Mytilus edulis: one gene and its partners. The protein of the gene in region 1 purifies or fractionates together with the protein of each later gene. This does not show direct contact. Links are inferred from orthologs where the notes say so. Each region holds a gene or a part of one and is shown on either strand. Other genes may lie near its edges.

The links.
Region 2: the proteins of SIN3-HDAC complex-associated factor-like (region 1) and histone deacetylase complex subunit SAP130-like purify together in Homo sapiens (affinity purification with mass spectrometry; 3 studies listed by BioGRID and IntAct, counting the BioPlex papers as one, with this or other methods). This does not show direct contact. The link is inferred for Mytilus edulis from reciprocal best matches to the Homo sapiens genes SINHCAF and SAP130.
Region 3: the proteins of SIN3-HDAC complex-associated factor-like (region 1) and sin3 histone deacetylase corepressor complex component SDS3-like purify together in Homo sapiens (affinity purification with mass spectrometry; 3 studies listed by BioGRID and IntAct, counting the BioPlex papers as one, with this or other methods). This does not show direct contact. The link is inferred for Mytilus edulis from reciprocal best matches to the Homo sapiens genes SINHCAF and SUDS3.

What each region holds. Positions count from the first base shown.
Region 1 is NC_092353.1:70,783,554-70,791,313, reverse strand, and holds the start of SIN3-HDAC complex-associated factor-like, read left to right. Parts: upstream 1-4,741; 5' UTR 4,742-4,860; intron 4,861-5,216; exon of another isoform or gene 5,217-5,305; intron 5,306-5,864; 5' UTR 5,865-5,897; coding exon 5,898-6,125; intron 6,126-7,760. Other genes in the region: serine/threonine-protein phosphatase 6 regulatory subunit 3-like, read right to left, coding at 361-440, 1,480-1,539. UniProt on the Homo sapiens protein: Subunit of the Sin3 deacetylase complex (Sin3/HDAC), this subunit is important for the repression of genes encoding components of the TGF-beta signaling pathway.
Region 2 is NC_092346.1:104,014,694-104,022,499, forward strand, and holds the start of histone deacetylase complex subunit SAP130-like, read left to right. Parts: upstream 1-4,786; 5' UTR 4,787-4,984; intron 4,985-7,806. UniProt on the Homo sapiens protein: Acts as a transcriptional repressor. May function in the assembly and/or enzymatic activity of the mSin3A corepressor complex or in mediating interactions between the complex and other regulatory complexes.
Region 3 is NC_092349.1:14,510,787-14,517,891, forward strand, and holds the start of sin3 histone deacetylase corepressor complex component SDS3-like, read left to right. Parts: upstream 1-4,085; 5' UTR 4,086-4,097; coding exon 4,098-4,197; intron 4,198-7,105. Other genes in the region: derlin-2-like, read right to left, coding at 652-741.

The sequences.
Region 1 (7,760 bases):
CCCCTTAAGAGTGATAATTTTAAAACATTTTCAAACTTAAATTGCATTACATCAACATGCAAATTCAGAGAGTCCATGCAATGGGCTGTTCCATGAACAACAACATTTGATGGAAATACACTTATAAATCTGAACTTTGGTCGGCTGTCAAAGGAGAAACAGTCCTAATGAAATACTGATCAATTATCAAATTATTATAAAACATGCAATCTTAAATGTTAAGTCAGCTGGAATACAAGTCCCCTAGATAATTTATGTATATTGTTATTTGGAAAAGCTGAAATCTTTTTTGTAAATATTCTTGTACACTGTTTTGCAAGTACTTTACTATTCATCATGAACTATTGTTACAACACTTACAAATCAATAAGCTTTTTATTCTGTGCCTTGCATTCCTGTAGTATATCATTTTCATCCATTAATTCTTGAAGGGTGACATCCTGTAAAATAAACCATCATTCTCCTGACTTCAAATATCGAAATCAAACAGTCAAAACACACCTACACTAGTGTATACAAAGGGGTATGTAAATAAAAGTTGCATATTGGTAGAGTACAAACAAGAATGTGTCCATAGTACACAGATGCCCCACTCTCACTATCATTTTCTCTGTTTAGTGAACCGTGAAATTGGGGCAAAAAATCTAATTTGGCATTTAAATTAGAAAGATCATATCATAGGGAACATGTTCACTAAGTTTTAAGTTGATTGGACTTCAACTTCATCAAAAACTACCATGACCAAAAACTTTAACCTGAAGCAGGACATACGGAGGGACAAACAAACAAATTGACTAACAGACCCACAGACCAGAAAACATATTAAATGCCCCTCTACTATCGTAGGTTGGGGTATAAAAATAAAGAATCAATGATGTACAGTGGAGTCCCCAGTGTCTACGTGGCCGGTGATATGCAAATAAAATCTTTCTATAAATTAATTGCTTTAGTATTCCGAATGGACAGAAAAGATTAAAATTGATCATTTCAAGAGTAAATTTTAAATTACCATCCAATGATTAATCACATTTAGCCAATTTCCATTGCCAAATTATATTTTCAGATAAAGTTGGTTTCATTAAAGTCAAAATTAAATCAAATAGATCTAAATTTTGCTCTGCATTCTTGGCATTCTGTTTGGTTCAAATTCAACTACATTTCGTACTTTAAAATCTTTCCTTAATTCAAATAACCCATTTTCATAAGACTATTAATGCAAGCGAAAAATCACCAGAAGAACTCTAAAAACAGTGGTTTCCCTAATTTTGGACACACATTACACAAGAGCTTAAGGGTGAAACCATACATGCAGAAAATTTTATGAAATAAGTTAGTGATGAATTTGTTCACATAATATTATATTATCTTATTATTAGTTTTATCATTAAATAAAGTGAAGTCATAAGACTTTATGTGCGCGGATACACAGAACTGCACCATAATGTTTTCTAAAAATTTACAATATTGATTGAGACTTACCTCCTTTCCAAGCAAGGTATCAATCTTTGAAGTTGTGATAAGATTAAACTTCCAAAACATCTTGTTATCTGGAAAAGAAAGATTCAGTTAAGATTCTGATATGTTATATAGTTATGGCTGATACAACTACAAGCTATAATTCAAAGTTCAAAATTAACAAGAATGTGTCCAAAGTACATGGATGCCCAACTCACACTATCAATTTCCATGTTCAGTGGACCGTGAAATTGAGGTCAAAAGTCTAATTTGGCTTTTAAATAAGGCCATATCATAAGCAACAAGTGTACTAAGTTTCAAGTTGATTGGACTTCAGCTTCAACAAAAACTACCTTGACCAAAACTTTAACCTGAAACAGGACAGACGAACGAACAGACGAACAGAAGGATGCACAGACAAACAGACGGTCACAGACCAGAAAACATAATGCCCCTCTACTATAGTAGGTGGGGCATAAAAATAAAAAATAAAGGAACTTTATAACTTCAGTAGTCATATCTCCTTATTTTTATATGTCAGTAACATACCCACAAATGTGTTTATCATCAGATGGAGAACGAATTGTGGACAGATGGCTACTTATGAAATTTTTCTGGATTGATATAAATTTGATTTGATTTTTTGGTGTTTTAACTCCACTTATAAGCACCGTATTTAGGCTATTTTGTGGCAGCCAGTTTTTATATTTTTTTTAAAAATAATCGTTATATGCTTTAGCTTATAGAAAGTGCCATATTTTTTTTTAATTTATAGGATTCTGGCCTGTAGATTCAAGTTCATCATGAAGACTAAATAGCACCAAGGTGCATGTTTCACACCACTCCGCCATGAAAATCACTTTAAATGGTTTAAAAATAATAATTTCTGAGTACTAAAACTTTAATCAGAAAACAAAGGCCAAATGATTTGAAAAACTACCAAACATTGATATATCAAAACACAATGACTCTTTTTGTCTATATGAACCAGTCTATCAATTGGACCAGCTGAAAAGTGAAATGTATTATAATAAAAATGATTTCATTTTGGCAATTAGAACTGAAACGTCATACAGTTTAAGGGACTTGTAAGTACATCTAGGTTGTTCAAATACTGTCTTTACCACTGACATACAACATCACAGGCGATCTATATCATCTACATTGCACAATGACCCATCAGCACATCATACCTGTCAACCTCTGGAAATGAAAAGTCAGGTCATGACCTGCATTGAGAAAAAAAATCTCAGGTCATAACGCGTACGACATTTTGCGGGCTCAATTGAAGAACAAAAATATGTTTATATATAATTATATAGTCAATATGTATATGAAACAGTTAGAACATGTATACAAGTTTATTTCAGACTATTGTTATATTCCATAGTAGCAGACTTGGCATTCTTTAAAAGAACTGCACTTGGTTTCAGTTCATAGCAATGCAAATATGTATTCATTTTACAAGAAAGAAGAGCACACAGTGTATCCTTATTAAGATCAGCCCTAAACTCTGTAGCTATTTTCTTTACTAAAGAAAATGCCCTCTCACTGTCTGCATTGCTGTTTGGCAAAACCAGTAATGTTTTAGCAAGTTTTGACAAAACAAAAAATCTTGGCTTGTTTTCAACTACCACTTTGTTATTTTCAACTGAAAGGGCCCTCTTTACTATTTGGGTGGTTTTAGTTTTTCAACAGGAATAACCTGAAGCTATTTCACTGTCAGAGAACATTAATTTACACGGTACGTAGCTCAGGTAAACAGTCCTACATTTTGACTTTTGGTTACATTGAAAAAGACCGATAAAACCGAAGGTCGTATTACTTCTAAATACCGGAAACAATTCCGGTCAGAAATCCGGGTGAAACGGGTAATGTTAGAAATTCCCGGGACCCGCCGGGTAAAGAAAAACTCCCGGGTGAGAGGTGAAAATAACGGGTGTCACCCGCAAAAAACGGGTGAGTTGACAGGTATGGCACATTGCCTATAACATTGTTCAAGTTTGATTTCTGTAAGCGGTTATTAATAAATTTGAATTTCTGTATTAAAAATGAAAAATTTATGTTTCATCTACTTGGTAAAAATAAAAATTGTCAAAGAAAGTGAGTATGGTGACCAACAGGGCGATTTCGTTTTCGATGGTAGGGCACAACAAAGTGATGAACACAAAAGCTATATTGTCCCCCCAGTTGCCTGCTAGCGTAAGCCCTAGGTACATCATTACATTACTGCTATTTGTCCGCCATAACTGGATATCACACAGGTTCCCGTAAAAATTTTGACCGTCATAAAAACAAAATAAGTGACGCCACAATGGAAAAGAGATTGTTGTTGACGTCAAAAGTTCAAGCAGCTGACCTGGGATTAGCAATAAGGTGTATACACCTTATCGCTATTTGTCCGCCATTACTGGATATTACACAGGTTCCCGTAAAAATTTGACATCACAAAACAAAATATCTGACGCCACAATGGAAAAGTGATTGTTGAATGCGTCAAAAGTTCAAGCAGCCGGGTCAGCCGGGATTAGCGATAAGGTGTATAGGCTATAGCCATGTTTTCACATTCCAAACATTCAAAACCATGTTTTGCCCTCAAAATATTTTGACTAGATTCTGCAGACAGCTTGAAATAAAACATGCTATTTTGCACAGATTTCAGTATTTGTGTCTTATTATCACGACAGGACATAATTGAAGGCATTGTATACCCACAGTGGTCACAGACTCATGACACTGCTAAAACCTATGGGAATTGAAAGTACTGTACGCAAACACGCTCGACAGTGAAATTAGCAATATTTACGTGGACTTAGCATGAAGTAAGAGTGTTAGCTATATAACGATAAAGCATAAATTTGTTTATTAACCTTTGGAGAAGACTGTGGTTTATTTTATCAAATGTAAACACGGAGAAACTTCTTCAATATCAAATGTACTCCACGGGTTTCTTGGTTCATTTCCAATTTTTCATGTTGAGGGATTCATGACATCAAATGCAATTAGTTAAATATGATTCTATGGGTTGGGTTTTGCAATAATTAATAGTCAGATCATTGAATAACCAATAAATATATGATATTTATCATGTCAGGCGGGAACGAGTACTTCTCAAAATGGCGACGCTGAATATCCCATAATCAATTTTCTGCGTTCTCACGAGAAATTTGTATGATTTTTATTTTTTATTCTATTACCACAAAATGAAATTTTATTAATAATTAAATAGCAAAATTATACTTTAAATGATTTAGTTTTTTTATTATCAAGCACCTGCGCTGTTGTCATAATAAATTTGAATACGCATGCGCGTTCATTGATGTTCCACTTCAGGCGATCATCTGAAAAATCTGTAGTTTACAAACGGACAGAAAAAGTCTTTCAGCTCTGAAAAAAATTATTCCGGTAAGAATTTTTGAGTTAAACTTTGTTTAATAGACATTTATTTATAATTTTCGTTGAAAATTGTGAGCTGTTACATTCTCTATTTTTCAAAAAACGTTATTACATGACCAATGGCATATCACTTGTTACCGGTGTGTAAGGAGCGGTTTCTCAATTTTTACATTTTTTAAGAAAAAACTAACTGTGACAGTTGTCAAATTTGAAAGTTTATGATTTGTTTTATATTAAGGATTAATTTTAAGATTTAATTTTTATTTCCTGTTTTGAAATTAAAGATTTTTGGTGAAAAACTGTGCACATGTATGTACACGATGAACTTGATCTGGGCGATCTGGGCCTGCGCCAATCATAAATTCCTTTGTTCCAAAATAGGAAAACGCTGTGAAGCGTAACCTTGTCCAAACGGTCATTGACACAATTACCCAGAGCGGCCTATTGATTGGTGGTATGTCGATTTATCATATATGTAGAAAGCGGACGTTCACCATAATCAGAATAACCATTGATTAGGCAAAAGAAAATATGTTATAAAATAGGAATTGAAGGAATTTATTGATTTGTGAGAATGACATTTATATTGATAAAACACTAATAGTAAATTTAAGTACAAAGGGGTTAAGTGGAGTGAACTATTATATAATAAAAGGACTTTTTAATTTATGTTCATCAGTATAGGACAAGGATTTGTATAACATTATCAAGAAATTACTATACAAATCCTTGTTAAAGATTTTTTTTTTTTAATCACAATCAGTAAATAATATAATTTGTAACATATACATACATTTATAAGAATAGTTGAGATAAATTAAAACGTAAGTTTATTTTTGAATTACAGAGGGCTGTATTTTATATGTTTGGGATACATTTGGTGATTTTAAAGATATATTACACTTATCAAGTTATGTGAACTGTCAGGCTGAATAGTACAGTTTGTCTGATTACTGTGGCAATCATAACATCCTTATTTTTATATTTATTAATGAAAGTTATGTTTTTTTCAGATTTAAAAATAACGAATACATATACAAGGAAAGATGTTCAGTTTTCATAAACCCAAGATTTATAGGAGCAATAACGGCTGTTGTATATGCCGAGCAAAATCATCAAGTTCTCGCTTTACTGACAGCAAGCGATATGAATGTGACTTTGAAAATTGCTTTAGAATTAAAGAAAGACGTGCTGGTGAAATATGTAATGCATGTGTACTTTTGGTGAAAAGGTGGAAAAAGCTCCCCTCTGGAACTAACAGACATTGGCATCATGTAAGTTTATATTTTTGACTTTTAATTAGATAAAACAAATTGATTTTAGAGAGATTAAAATTAGGGCAGTATCTGCAAGCTATTGATTTTTCAAAAAAATAGTTTATATCAGAATAGTGATTATTTTAATATTGGATAGCTAATTTTTGCGCTGTGTAAATATTTGTCATAGTTTAAATTCCATAGATTACACACAGGGACTGATCAATGTGTGTGTCAGAAGTAGGTCATGTTACCTGACATAGTATGTACTCTCAAGACAGGTCTTAATACATATGTATTGACCTTCAGTATCTCAATGATTGATCTTGTGGTGTACCAGAAAAGATGGGTTATCCAAAAATAGATATTTTATAAAATTTATAAAGTAAAGAAAAAAATGTTAAAAAAACCAAGGTACAAGATATATTTGAAATAAAGTTACCTGGGGCAGTGATTGAATAATTAATTTGAAAAAAAATACCATATTATTAAGTTGTGAAATGTGTGTAATTTTTCAAAAGGGGGATCAGATATAATTGTTTTCATAGTGTTAGATAATATCTGAAACCAATTATCATCAATTTTCTGATGACATATATCAGATATTTGTAAGATGGGGACATTTTCCTTTATAACTACTGACAATATTTGTGTTATTTATTACCCTCTAGAGGGTATAAAGATTCCTCAAAAAACATGTTGACATGCAGTGAATGTTAGCTATAGAAGTTAGACAGGCTCATCCTGTTAATCAACTCTGTGTAATCAATGTCATAAAATGAAATCTGATTATGTTAATAGGTCAAGTCTGTGTTACTTCCTTATATGTAATGAGGCTGTAACTAAAATTTGAGCTAGACGGATTTAATTTCTAATATAAATAAAAAATATATACAATGTTTGTTTAATTGATACCTAGACTTATTTGGAACTAATACATACATAATTATTTATTGCCAGCATTGGTCCAAGTTCTTATGTAATATTACATTATTAAGCATTCCTATAGAAAGGTCATATATAAATAATTACACAAGTTAAATTGAAATTAGTTTTACTTGTAATATTTCTTTCTTGGGGCTTACAAAAAAAAAACTTACAATTGAGGAACCATTAAAGTTAAATGACAATATTTCTCTGTTCCCCTATCAGGTTTATTAGAGAAATAAACACTTGCTTTCCCACCATAATATTGAACTTTGTATGAAGGCTAAACAAGCACCTGCCTGTTTAAGTGTAGTGTCCTTATAAAATATGTGCATTTTAATCTGAGTTTTAAAGTATTAAACTAGGTCATTGACTGCTTTAAACCGTCTACTGCACTCTGAAAATTTAAAGAATAGGAGGTTGACTATATTATCAAATATCTTTCTATGAGAAACTGTGTGTAATCCAAGGTCTATATATTTTTTTTGTTCATGTAATAGTTAGCTCATTTTTAGACAACATTATGTTTTTTTAGTGTTTTTGAAAAAAAAACCTGTTTAAAATCAATAAAGAACTCAACTAGATTCAGACAGACTCATTTTCTCAAACTGTCATGGCTTTTGTCACATATATAGTATGAAAACTCATCTGAAGCATGTATACAATATTTTGATAATTTGAATTACTATTTTCATTTATATGTTGTTTTAATATTATAATTGTCTG
Region 2 (7,806 bases), on another chromosome or scaffold:
GCCTGCACTGTAGCCGTCCCGCTAGGCTATCGGGGCTTCACAATAATAAAGCTTTTGGTGGCCGTGTGTTACCTTGCCTCGTCAGTTTTAATCTAGTGTCGTACTACAGTACATGATATATAAGGCATGGAGATGTTATTGTTACATATCAGCTCAATTATCTATAGTAAAGGATCCTACAAATTAATGTAAGATACAGTCACAGAAAATAATTATATTTATAAGTACGTCTGAGTCTTTACAAATAAAACTGACTAAAATTGTTGACTTGCTGGTGACACAGGTACAGATTATGATCATGCATGCTGCAATATACAACAAATAGTCTGCTGCAGATATAAAAAAAAACAACAACACAGTTCTGCGCATTATTTCAGTGGTATTAGTAAAGTCGGCAAAAAGGGAAGTTGTCATTATTTACTTTGTTGATGCAGAGACATACATGGTAACCGAGATTATATCAATATTTCTTTACAGCCAATTACATTGAGTGTGTAGACAAAGGTAATATATTTGGTTAGCTTGTTTGCTAGCTGAACCGTGAAGTTATTATTAAGTTCGGTAAACTTCCCTCCTTTAAGAGTAGACTAGTCCGACAGATAACCAATCTATCTGTCTGTAGGACTAGGCTACTTCGAAAGAAGGGTAGTATACTTAACTTATAATGACTACGGTTCAGCTAGAAAGCAAGCTAACACCAAAGATATCACCTTTGCCTACACACTCAATGTAATAGGCTGTAATTTTAAACTGATACTACTATAACAGATACTATAAGTCTAGTATAATAGTCTCAGTACTAAATAATTGGCTTCTTGTGTCTTTATTAGTCGTTAACCATATTGCATTGAGTGGATAAACAAATACAATATTTTTACGCGATTTAGACCAGGTGTTATCTAGTTGTCCACTAGAATTATGTTTACACTGCGGCAAAATACAGTAGAAAATAGTCTTTTATCAGGGCATAATCTGGCATCTACCAGATTCTTGGTGAAATTACTCTAAATTTGTAGTTTAAAATTTTCCTCTGTTCAAAATAACTGCATGGTGATATTGAGATATATTCAAAAACTCTTTATATATCTGAATATTTTGCGGATTAATACTTTAATTATCATTTCGTCGTAACGAGTTGGGGGAAGGAATAAAAGACCTAAGAAACTAATGGATTAATTTTGTTACTTTGCATGTAGGTCTACAACTTGGTGAATGCTAAGTCCAAGCCTATGTTGGTCACCGTACGATCTTCAATAATGAACAACACCCACCCCGTTAAGTCAGCTATAAAAGACATTGACATGACAAAATACGGCAACGATATTGGAAAGAGATGATCAACGACTTATTTGTTACAAAACAATACAAACCAAACCAAACTAATATGACATCGACAGCAACCAACGGCAACCACTGAACTACAGGCTCACTGAGACCAAGAACAGGCTCATTTAGAATGTGGGCGAGGTTAGACATGTTTGTGAGAGCTCAAGCCTCTCATAAACCAGTACATTGGTGTAACAACATAAGAGCAACGCGTAAACATCAGTTGGGAATGTGTTGTATTTGATTCATTAGATTGTTGAGAATAAAATTCAGAATAAAAATGGGTAATGTGTCATGAAGACACCAATTACCCGACCAAAGAGCAGCCGACGGCCACCAATGGATCTTCAAAGCAGGGAGAAACTCCCGCCACCGGAGGCGTTTTTTGCACAAAACAGTGGCCGATCCAGAGGGGGGGTTCCGGGGGTCCGCACCCCCCTTTATTTTGGCCGATCAATGCATTTGAATCGGGACATATGTTTGCACCCCCCCTGCACCCCCCCTTTGCCCTGGGCTAGCACCCCCCCCCCCCCTTTCGAAAATTCCTGCATCCGCCACTGCAAAACATAATGATAAAAGTACTGTGTGTACTCACGAATACTGAAAGTAAATACATGTCCAAATACAACTTATATGTATAAACACATTTTGTCCCAAATAAAAAGACGTCATGCATAATCTGAAAACAGCATGACTTTATGTAACGGCAAAATGTTAAAAGGCCAAATATAAGTAAGTATAATAATATATATTTTATTGAAAGGATCAAGGAATTGTATATTTAAATATAATAATTCTTGACAGATATGTTATGTTTAATTTACTAAAAAGTTAAAAAAAAAAAAAAAAAAAACAACACCAAATATAAAATATAACAGATGAAAGTCAAACAATATAAAAAAGAAGATGTGGTATGATTACCAATGAGACAACTGTCCACAAGAGACCAAACTGACATATAGACATTAACAAATATAGGTCACCGTACGGCCTTCAACAATGAGCAAAGCCCATACCGCATAGTCAGCTATAAAAGGCCCCGATAAGACAATGTAAAACAATTCAAACGAGAAAACTAACGGCCTTATTTATATCAAAAAATGAACGAAAAACAAATATGTAACACATAAACAAACGACAACCACTGAATTACAGGCTCCTGACTTGGGACAGGCATATACATAAATAATGTGGCGGGGTTAAACATGTTAGCGGGATCCCAACCCTCCCTCTAACCTGGGACAGTGGTATAACAGTACAACATAAGAACGAACTATAAAAATCAGTTGAAAAAGGCTTAACTCATCAGATGGACAAAAATACAAGTGGACGTGGCCGGGTACTTATACATCCCGACACAAAAAGACACAATGAACAAATCTGAGAGTACTCACAGTTATCTGACAGCTAGTTCAAAGCCACTAACAACTAATTAAAAAATTATGCATCTAAGACTAAACTATCAATCCGTACACATCCAACATCCAATGGATTTAGTGTAAAGACGTCATAAACAGCCAGAGAAAAACACGACCTTGTGCAATACCAAGATACAGGTGTCAACAGATTGTAGATCCATGAATATGTCTATGTATATAACATACTAGTAATATTTAGTTAGCTTTTAATTTACTGATAACAAAGTCAATATTTAATACCGAATTATTTATACCAATAAAAACAATATTCAATGATCTTATTACAGTGTTCAATAGGTAACCTTTTAGAATAAGTTTATTTAAAGGAGCGACAAGTTTACATGGGTCATTTCTAAATTTCCGGGCACGGTTAACAACATTTTCGTAAAAATGAGGATGTGCTATCCCGTAGGAAACAAGTTTTCTACAAGTACAACCAAATACGTTGTTAAAAATCACAATCTTTAAAAAAAAAACCAAGTTTATTCAAATTAAGTATTAATGAGTTTGTGTGAGTCGTATCCAAAAGTGTTGGCTCTATGAGCAACAATACCATTAACAATAAGATGTGATATCCTATATGTGGTAAGAATTCTTAATGTACATTCAATCTTCCAAAACGAAATCTTCATATATATAATATAAAAGTATTTGTGGTAACGAAATCCCTGAATTACTCGTAACTGATTTACGACGGTTATATCAAAAGCTGTCATATTCGGAGTCCTGACTAAGTACAGAGTGAGACAAAAGTAAAACACTATGGTCTTCATTTCACGATTCGTGGATTGTGATTCAGTTTACGAAAATGTTCAAATCTCAGTATTTTCAAATTGTCGTAACCATGCACAATGTCGTAACCATGCACAATGTCGTAACCATGCACAATGTCGTAACCATGCACAATGTCGTAACCATGCACAATGTCGTAACCATGCACAATGTCGTCCCCTTTTCTCAAATGTGATCGAATGAAGTAGAATTATTTCTGGGTTTGTACTTACACTATAGCAACACGACGGGTGCCACGTGCATGTGAAGTAGGATCTACTTACCATCCCAGTGCACCTGATTTTTGTGTTGCTTATTCTTTTAGTTGTATATGTTGTGAATGTAGAAAATTGTTTGCCTTTCAGTATTTTTTATTGTATAGTTCATGACATCGGCAGTTCGTTTTCAACTTATTAGTTTGACTATCCCTTTGATATCTATTACCTCTCGGTAACTGTAAGAGGGACAGAGCTATCTCAACTTTTGTAATTATACATTTCGTAGAGATTACCTTTCAATAACTGTAAGAGGGACATAGCTTTCTCAACTTTTGCAATTATACATTTCGTAGAAAATGTCAACAGCAAGACAATCAAAGCACAATAATTTAAACATGACATAAAAAATTGCATCTTTGACTGAGATAAACTTTTAAAGGCAACATTTGCAGGGAATATTTGAATTGAAGTGAGAATTGAGAATTGAATTGAATTGAATTGAATTGAATTGAATTGAATTGAATTGAATTGATTTGAATTAGATTAGATTAAATTAAATTAAATTAAATTAAATTGCAATTTGAATTGAATTGAATTTTGAATTTCACTATTTTGTTTCAAGATGTAATTGCTACTTTTTAGCAATGAGCTACAATACTTTGTCAATATGATTGAATTTGAGGTAACTGTCATGCAAGTGAGAGGTTTAGCTAGCTATAAAACCAGGTTCAATCCACAATTTTCTACATAGAAAATTGCCTGTACCAAGTCAGAAATGTGACAGTTGTTATCGACTTGTTTGATGTCACGGTTTGGGCTTTTAATTTTGCCAATTGATTAGAGACTTTCCGTTTTGAATTTTCCTCGGAGTTCAGTATTTTTGTGTTATTACTTTTTATTACTTCCCTTGTACTATATCGAACTACTGCATTACATAGTTATTTTTAGCGTATTTTAAATCACGTGATTGAGGCGTACTCTTTGGAATAGACTATAACTTAGAGCATTCCGGAAGCGCATTTAGATCATATGGAGTCGATCAACCAATCAGATAGCTGCTTACAAAACATTTTGAGCAGCAGTTGACCTGAGAATATTGAGGCAAATACGACTCCAAATTTGACGATATTTTCATTAATTAGAAGTATATTCAAAACGTGTTCATATTGAACACTTTTGAAGACTGGGATTGCTTTATTTACAGTGTGCTAGATAGGAATTTGTGATTATCAACCACAGGTATAGACATAGGTAGGATATTTTTTTTTATGTGAGATTTCTTTCACTTACACAGAATAACATAAATTATCTGATTTATACTTGAAATATTTACTGACATACTGTTAATGAGGTGTATTCCAGAATGACTACTATGATTAGGGCAAATGCAATATAGTTTATGGCGTTTGATGAAAACGTTGTTGTGGTCGGTATTTAAATGGGGGACAATCTCAAAATGCAGAATGTTGAAGCTATTGCAAATCTCTTGTCTAACATGCTGAGTCCACAGACTTAATAATAGAATCTTGTCAATTCAGTGCTGCCTACTAGAGCAGTAAACATTTATGCCTGCCAGTCTTTCGGTCTATTCTGCCACATTATGATGTGAGCCTGAGACTACTATAACACATGTGTTATAGTAGTCTCAGTGTGAGCGCATGAAATATTTTTGAAATTTAATCAACAAAAGAATGGGTGCAATTTAATGTATATACAGGAGCAATCAAAAACATGTTATTCAAATTTAATGAGGGAGCTGAGACTTGAAAGATTCAGGACTCTGGGCGCAGACACTAGAGTTTGGCAAGGTGTTCCACTTTATGATTGTTCTAGGATAGAACAACTCCTTATGTACAGTTGTTTTACTTGATGGTATTCTAGGTGCCTTTTCGTTGTTATTTCTGGAAGCTACAGAATGTTGCACTAGCAGAATTATGAATTTTGTGTACATTGAATCATATGGTGTATGGGTTAGTTTTATGAAACATCAGTGTAAACATGGATCAAAACAATGATTAAAAATCTACATGTATTATAAGTTCAAATTTAAAACATGTAGTCCATTCAAACTAAGATTTAACCTCAAACTAATTGCAACAGAACATGTTTTAGTTCTAATCTATAGCATTATGCCCTTTATATACACAGAAAAAAGTCCCATAAAATCTAACTTGAGGAAAACTCAAAATCAGCATTTTTAAATTCCTATGGAAATTAGCATTGGGAGGGGAGATAACTCCACAAAAATGAGTCCTTTCAGTCTGCACCAAAAACTTTTGAGGGTACTGGACTAGTAGTAATTATTTTAATTTACTAGTCCTGAATAACTTCCACTAGTCTGACACCGGTGAGGGTCGCGAAGCGACCCAAACCAGCTAGGGGGGTGGGGGCATGCTCCCCATTCAAATTTTGAAATCTTAGATGCAAAATCCTGCATTTTTAGCATACCTAAAAGGGTTTAAGCTGGTTGGAAAAATTTGTCTTTAGCTAATTTTAAGGATTTTTCATTTACAAAAAATTATTAAACAAGGTAAACTTCTGACACTACTTATTTTTAGTCATGTGCACTGTCCATAAATGATAATAAAAACAATGTCAGAGTTTCCAATTAATTTATAGTTGTTTTATTCCTCATAGCCTTTTAATAATTGCTTCAGTTTTAACTTAGAAGTCCCTTTAGCAAAATTGGTTATGTTATTTTCTTTGCAGTACGTGCAAAACGTTAAAAATTCAGTTCAATTCAAAGTTTTATTGCCATATAAACATTACAGTTTGCGACATATGTTATGGGTAGTTTTATTTTATTGTGCATTTTTCATTAAAGAAATTGCAAATGTGAAGCTTTGTGACCATTTTGAAAAGATAATGTGAAAATTTGGTATTGTTTATCAGGGCTCACACTACTTCAGAATTATAGGGAGAAGTGACTTCTCTTTTTGAAACTGATAGGGAGAAGTGGTGAGATTTGAAAGAGAAGTGCTCATTCGCACGGTGCGATACAATGTTTGGATTTTACAATAGTATAAAGGGCCATATGTAAATAATGGTTCAATTCATATCTGAGTAAAAAAATTACAATTAAAGTAACATTTGAAATTAAAAGTTGTTTAAGTTTTACTAAGGTTCTTGTGAGAAACTACAAACTAAATATCTAGCACTAAAAAAAAAAAAATTATTTTAAAAAATGTAAAGAAATTATAATATATCAATTACAATTTAATTAAAAATTATCTTGTGTATGACATTCAGTGTTTCTCATAAAAAAAATATAAAATTTATTAAGCTGGGCCAGAATATATTGATATTAGTAATGAGTATAATAGTCTCAGAGTTAAGCAACTTTAATCAATAGTTTGAAACAATCCATAAAAAATATAGGGAATTATATACACCAATCAATTAGATGTTACCAAAAGTCTCTTAATGCGTGTGGAATGCGTAATTTTCCCCTTTGGGATCAATATTCTTCTGTCAGCTGTTCCATCCGTGCGTCCGTAGTAATTATTGTTAAAGTTCGGATTTCGGTCATAGCTGGTCCGGTTCAGATCCAGAGTTTAGAAATCGGTCAATGGCGGACGAATGCAAGAAAATTGACAAAAATAAACGATGTTTGACAAGTTATTTGGAAAGGAACATGACGTTTTTAATGCAATAAATGGATTAAAAATTTACTGGAGGCCACTTTTATCACGTTTAAATGAAGTAACAAACTTATGTTGCCGCCGAATTTGAGGTTGATGTACGTTTTCGAGTAACAAGCACCGGAACTTGCAGAAATGCACGAAGTGATAAAAAGTTGTATTTTTATCAAATAACCTGCTACACATTACGAAGACAATGCTTCAACCTCTTTTCTAAAGATAATGAATCGTTTATGTCTGAATTTCTTTAATTATCAATAAAAAATTGATGTTTCATCAACTTGGTAAAAATTGAAAATGTCCGATGACGGAAGCGACTGAAAGCGACTATCGTCAAGAACAGGGGGACTTGTTTTCGCTTTTGGGGGTCGGGGAAAGCGAAGTGACGGTCGGGAAGGCGACTTCTTCGCCCAAGTCGCCTGGTAGCGTGAG
Region 3 (7,105 bases), on another chromosome or scaffold:
GGTCTCAGACAAAGTCATAATGATGACAGGAATCTTTATCAGGACCAAAGTGGTAAGACAGTGCAATGGTGGTCCATTATCCAACACCTATGATACAGACCAGTAGAAGTCAGTCAGCATAATATGTCCCCTGTAATGTGTGTTAAGGACAAAATGCTAATGCGATATTTATGCAAAACAACAAGTTTAAGATCATACTGTTCAGCATTGAATTGGTGTCTATCATCAATCAATAAACCCTGGAGTAAACCAACATCGTGGATAGCAGTAGTCCAAATAATTATGATGTAATGGAAGGCTATTTCAAATTTTTGCTTTGACGCTTTCCTGTGACAATGTACATGTAAGGCATCAAGAAAAAAAAAAAAATAGCCTTTAAAGACGTTGTAATTATTTGAACTAGGATAGCAGGTAAAGAGGAGCTGACCCAGTTCTGCTGTTCAGTTGTAATGACTGAGGTGCAACTGAATGCTGAATTGATAGCGATGTGGATCGACCTGATAGCTGTACATATACATGATTATGATTTGACATACAATCCAGCCTTTTTTTTTTTATCAGAGATACAAAATTTTGTAAGTGGCTGTGTTACAGTCCTACATTATATTGCTTGTATTTAACATTTATTTAAAACTGAAATAAGAATAATACCACTGCTATCGTTGTGATAACACATGCTGTAGTGTAAGCCCGAGTAACGGGCGGCATTTGCATGTATTCTTGCTGAAATGTTTGTGCCATGGCTGTGTAGTGCAATGTTTACACCGGATGTTGAAGAATCCACGTAGAATAAGATAAAAGTAAAAAGTAAAAGATATCAACACAAATTTTAAAATATTCCTCTTGTAATTTCTTCCGAAACTATATCATTTTTGTTTTCTATTTAGTTAAGTATACAAATTTTATATCTGATTCGTTGATTTTACGATAGGATCTTTTTTCAAAAAATAAAATTGTTATCTGCAGATTTTACTTACACCGGAAGTGAAATAAATGGTACGCACTGAAACCCGGACCGGACCGGACTCCGGACCCGGACTTTGGTATGAAACCCGGACCCGGACCCGGACTGGCCACCGGACCCGGACTGAATGCCGGACCCGGACTGTGGGTTTTTTACCACTTTGATTTTTTTTAAGATTACTGTCATATAAATTATTAGTTACAGTATATAAAAATTAAAAAAAAAATCCACATTCCGAGCGCAAAATTGAACAAAAAAGAGTAAAGTAAAGTAAGGAAGAAATATATAATAATTCCTTTGTCGTTATTGTTTTATTGAAATTAATAAAATCTTTTTTATTATCAATGAAAGCAAATTAAATTCTTTTCATAGGAAGAGTAAAGCGCAATAGTTTGATACATTCGAGGGTTATATTTTTTTTGTATTGTTTTCTTCTTCTAGACATTAAGGGAAAAATAGAATTCCTGCTTTTCTAAAACATTGTTTTGGCAGTCTTAATTAATCACTTTTAATATTAGTTTCCTCTTATGAGAACACCAATTACGCGTTGTTATGTCACTGTGTAATGAAAGTCTCGTGTTTTATTGGGTGTTTGACATTTGCGCCGATTTTTAAAAGTTTCGATCTTTCATTTGCGCCGATTGTGCACAGGTTAATTGCAGGTGAATGTCACATTGATTCTATTCATCAATATAAACCTCTTTCGTTACCCAATTGTACATATGTTATGAATTGTCAACTAGTATCATTAAGAATTCCTATGATCTCTTATTGTAATTCCGAATTCTTATGATATCTTATTGTTCCTCCGAACTCTTATGATATCTTATTGTTTCTCAGAATTCTTATGACTTTTTATTGTTCTTCCGAATTCTTATGCCTTTTGATTTTTCCTCCGAATTCTTATGATCTCTTGTTGTTCCTCAGAAGCCTTATGACTTTTTATTGTTCCTCCGAGTTATTTTAATCTCTATTAAGACTTATATGGTTTCTCCGAATTCTGTTTCTCTAAATTCTTCTCTAATACTGTTCCTCAGATTGAATTATTGACAAAGGTTTACACTCGCTTTAGGATATTGGTTTAATTGAAAGAAAAAGGAAAAAGAAGACACAATTAACCAGGAATTACTTACAAAATACATTAAGGCTATTGGTAATTCAGTGTTTAAATAACCAAAGTAAAAACTATGATGGATTGCTTTTTTGTACTAGCTGTGATCAGTAACTGCGAGTATTCTCATATCTGTAGTTGGTGTCGTACGGTCACCTATAGTTGTAAATGTCTGTGTCATTTGGTCTTCTTTGTCAGCTGTCTCATTGGCAATCACATCACATCACATCATTCTTATTATTATATCAACATTGCAAATAACGCGTCACTTGTCGATAACATGGTATTTATAAATAAAATAATAAAAAAAAAGATTTACTTTCTTATTTGATTGTCATCACAAAGTCTATTAAAATAATTCAACAATCCAATGTTTCACGATAAAGGTGTCAAAGACTACACTATCAATCATAATCAAGCATGTATAGAAGTCAGATTTAAAGGGGCATTAGCTCCGAGATTTAATGAAATGATAAATAAAAATGTTCAATATAGTGAAATAATTTTATTTTAGCAGCCATTGTCAAAATAAACTAATATACATCGCTTATGAATTATTCACTCGTAATCTCCGTATCAATAGTATTCCTTTGGTAAGAAATACAGAAATAATCTTGTGTTACACGTTAACCGGGATATTTTTTACCCCAAGATGGTACTCTGAATAAAATCTTCTGCGGCTCCTGATTGGATGATACAAAGTTGGAATTGCTCCAATAAAATTTAAGCAGCGATCGATCATCCATGTAATACACATTCTTGAACAGGTGAGTCCGGACTGTGACCTGACATGACCCCGGACTAGCTTGAAGTTTACTATACCTGCGTGTATTGCATTACGACGACTAACTGTATGTAAACTGTTTATTGTCGTAAAGTATATTGACGGGACATTTGATCAAGCATGTAATACATAAGAAATTTATAAGATATTTATCCGACATTTAACGAATAATATAAATGTAATAGGCGAGTCCGGATGGTGACCTGAAGTAACCCCGGACTAGGTGTATTCGCAAACTGTAGACATCGATAGAGATATAAAAACTTCACAAATGATTTGATGAGACGAACTTATTCATTTTTATTCATTCAACTTTTTCCTTATTGGATTGTCGTCGGAAACATTAATAAAAGACGTGTACCCGAGAATCAACAAATTAAAATTAGACGAGTCCGGACTCTGATCTGATATAACCACGGACCAGGAGTGTACGGATTGTATATAAATATACTAAATTATTTGTTTAATTGAAAGATTTTTTCCCCCTTTTTACTTTTTACTTTTCCTTTATTCATTTCTCTATTTCTTTAGTTATTCGATTGTCATCGGAAAAATCAATAAACGACACTTAAGCGGCGTTCAACAATGTAATACACATTCTTGAACAGGTGAGTCCGGACTGTGACCTGACATGACCCCGGACTAGCTTGAAGTTTACTATTCCTGCGTGTATTGCATTACGACGACTAACTGTGTGTAAACTGTTTATTGTCGTAAAGTATATTGACGGGACATTTGATCAAGCATGTAATACATAAGAAATTTATAAGATATTTATCCGACATTTAACGAAAAATATAAATGTAATAGGCGAGTCCGGATGGTGACCTGAAGTAAACCCGGACTAGATGTATTCGCAAACTATAGACATCGATAGAGATATAAAAACTTCACAAATGATTTGATGAGACGAACTTATTCATTTTTTTTCATTCAACTTTTTCCTTATTGGATTGTCGTCGGAAACATTAATAAAAGACGTGTACCCGAGAATCCACAAATTTGATTATCTTATTATTATAATGTACTGTGTTACAGTTCTCAAAAAATTATCTTCCTTCTCCTGATTAAAAAAAGAAAAAGGTGATTCTAAGAAAATTCAGAATTATTACCCAGTCCGGGTCCGGCATTTAGTCCGGGTCCGGCGTCCGGTCCGGGTCCGGGTTTCATACCAAAGTCCGGGTCCGGAGTCCGGTCCGGTCCGGGTTTCAGTACGTACCGAAATAAATCAACAAACCATGGCCTCGTACGCTTCTTCACGGGACGAAAACAATTCAGATTTTGAAGAGGTTGACAGCTTTGACTGTGATGAACTGGATGCACAAGCAACTGACGAAGGTAAATATTCAATCTGCTTAATATTTTATTATTCTTTGTGTGGATGCAAAAGATGTTTAGTTTTAAAAATTTTAGTGCTTCATATATATGTTTTGGTATTTTGCAAGATACATGTATTATCTATTTGCTTAGAGTTAATTTTTGGTGCTGCTTCTTATTATTTATTGCATGCTGCATGTCTTGTTTTATTTGTTATTGCATATGTTTTTATATTCGGTGAAAAGCTCATTAGAGCTTATGTTTGTATTGTTTGTCAATATGCCGAATCCAAATAAAGTTTTACTTACTTACTTACTTACTCAACCCTGCACCTGACAAAGGTACTTTTATAAGCATTGTGGCTTTGTGCTGTTATAGTTTATGCTGTGACTTTTATCTCGTTATTGCAATGCATTTTAGAAGTCATATACCAACTAAACTCAGTGGCAATATTAGTTTTCTTTTTGGTTTGCATTCTACAGTTCTAGACCTTCCTATGGATAGAAACAAGTGCCTGTGGTTTCGGCCATGAATCACTTAGGTATATATGTAATTCAAGGAATTGTGTTAAAATATTTAATAATTTAGGTCACCCTTATAATAAGAAGATAAGTGTATTATATTTTAAGCTCCGACAGCATCAATCGTTGATTAGATGGTCACACAGTGTTCTCCCCAGGATTTTTGGATAGCGCTGTGGTAAGCGCGTAATTTTCGACAATTCTCAGTAACTTTATTGCGGCGTGCGTTTTGTTTGTAATTGATTTGATGTGTTTTTATTATATTATGCTATTGATGTTTTCTCTTGTAATGATGTCCTCATCATGCTCATGATAGTTACAAAATGTACAATGTACCCCTTTGTTTGTTAATGTTTTTGTCTGGATACACATGATATAGAAGAAGAGTCTTTTTTTCCTCCATAGTAAATTCATATATTAAATCCTCATACTATCAGTGTATAAAACTGAAGGATAAGTCTTTTTCCATGATGGGTCTACACCAGACTACCGTGACTACCTATGTGAAGATTTCTTAGCACTAACAGGTAATGTTGCAGAACATGTAGGACCAACAATAAAGTCAATGTCAGCTTCTGTTTGGTTTTGTAACCCACTGTAGCAGTGTACAGTTTACCTTACGACGTTTGACAGGAATTGACATTTTTTTAGCATAAAGATTTCTCATTTGTCTGACCTTAAAGTTTTATAATATTTAAATGGCCTCATCCAAGCTGAACATTGAGAAAGTGAAATTTCTCAAGTCGTATCAGCTTGGGGTTTGTTTTTCTAATCATATCCTCTCAATTGTTTTCAAATGGTAGAATTTCTGACTAAACAATTATAAGTTTGAATAGGTGATAATTAATACTTCAAAGACTTGCTCATTTTCGGGGTTCGTATGGATAGTAAACCCGGCAAATAATTTGTAACAAACCCCGGTGTTTGATCGTTTTTAAAATCATCGTTTGTTCAAAGTTCGTAAAACAAGTTTGTGAGTGTCGTCGGGAAATGCGATCAATTCATTTCATCTCATTTCATTCATATATGCCTCTATCATGTGTCTATATATTCTTTTAATTGAAAACATAGATGTCAATGTCGAAATCTTTGTTTATTTTGATCTTTCAAAGATGCCATTTTTATTAGACTGGTCCCGCGGAGTTACTTTAATACAACAGAAATAATTCATTCAAAAATCGTAAACCAGTCAATCACGTGATCCGAAGAGTAAAATAAGCGGGAAATTTGAAAAAATGCGAAAAAAAATATAGCGAGGCGGTTGAGTGGGATAGCGCTGCGGTAAGTGCAATAGGACAGCGGGAAATTTAAATAGCGCTGAAAATCGCAGCGCTAAAACGGCCTGGGGAGAACACTGTCACAAATTAAGTTTACTGGCGACACATTAGCGGAGACAGTAAACAGGTAAACGGGTATTTTCGACCATCAAATCACCAATTGATGCTGTCAGAAATTAAAATGCAATATTGTTATCTCCATTTTAATAAAACTGACATAAAAAACGTTAAAACATGTATTTAAAATCTGTTATATTGCATGTATATCGTCTGCACATGCGTGTATGTTCCATAGCATCAATTGTCAATTGATCATTTTGATGCCATGAAAATAAGTTACGTTATCCAATCTAAATGGACTTTACATGGGTTGTTGCATTAGATTTTGAATTTCATTCACTTCGGTATACATCTCAGGTCAGGTCATTCATTACCTGGTATAGGTTGGCACCTACTCAAATTGGGACTTGGTTAATTCAGGATTAAGGCTGGCACCAGAGGTAGTTATTAAGGCACCTATGTCTACATGGTCTATCATTAACATTATGTTTTGTTAGTCAACTTTTGAAGTCTCCACTATTTGTATATTCTTGGTTTAATATTTTCACAAATTAATCAACATATATTTGGTAGGAATCATAGAAGTTCCAACAAAAACTTTGTTCTAAACAATGTGTACAGTAATTCCTACTTTATTTCAACTGCACATAACATGCATAAGTCATTGCTAGTAAACATGTTGCTAGCTGTCATTATACAGAAACGACAGTGGTTAAGCAGAAAAAACAATTTAAATAACAATGATTTGTTTTCATCCTTATCTGTGGATTAAAAAAAAACTTGTATAATGACTTCTTAGTTTTTTTTTTATTATAAACATCAAAAACTACCTGTGGGTTACATTAAATACAAGTTTATAATTAATATAAAAATAACTAATGCCACTGAAATTAACAACTATAGGTCCAGTCTGCATGGTTAGCCACTAGTCTGATGCCCCATACTAGTAAAATTTTATTCAGACTAGTAAGTTTTTGCAAAACTTTGTTTGGACTAATAAGAAAAATGTCAAAATATTGGTCTTCGGACTAGTAGTTGAAAAAGTTTTGGTGCAGACTGTAGGTCATTGTA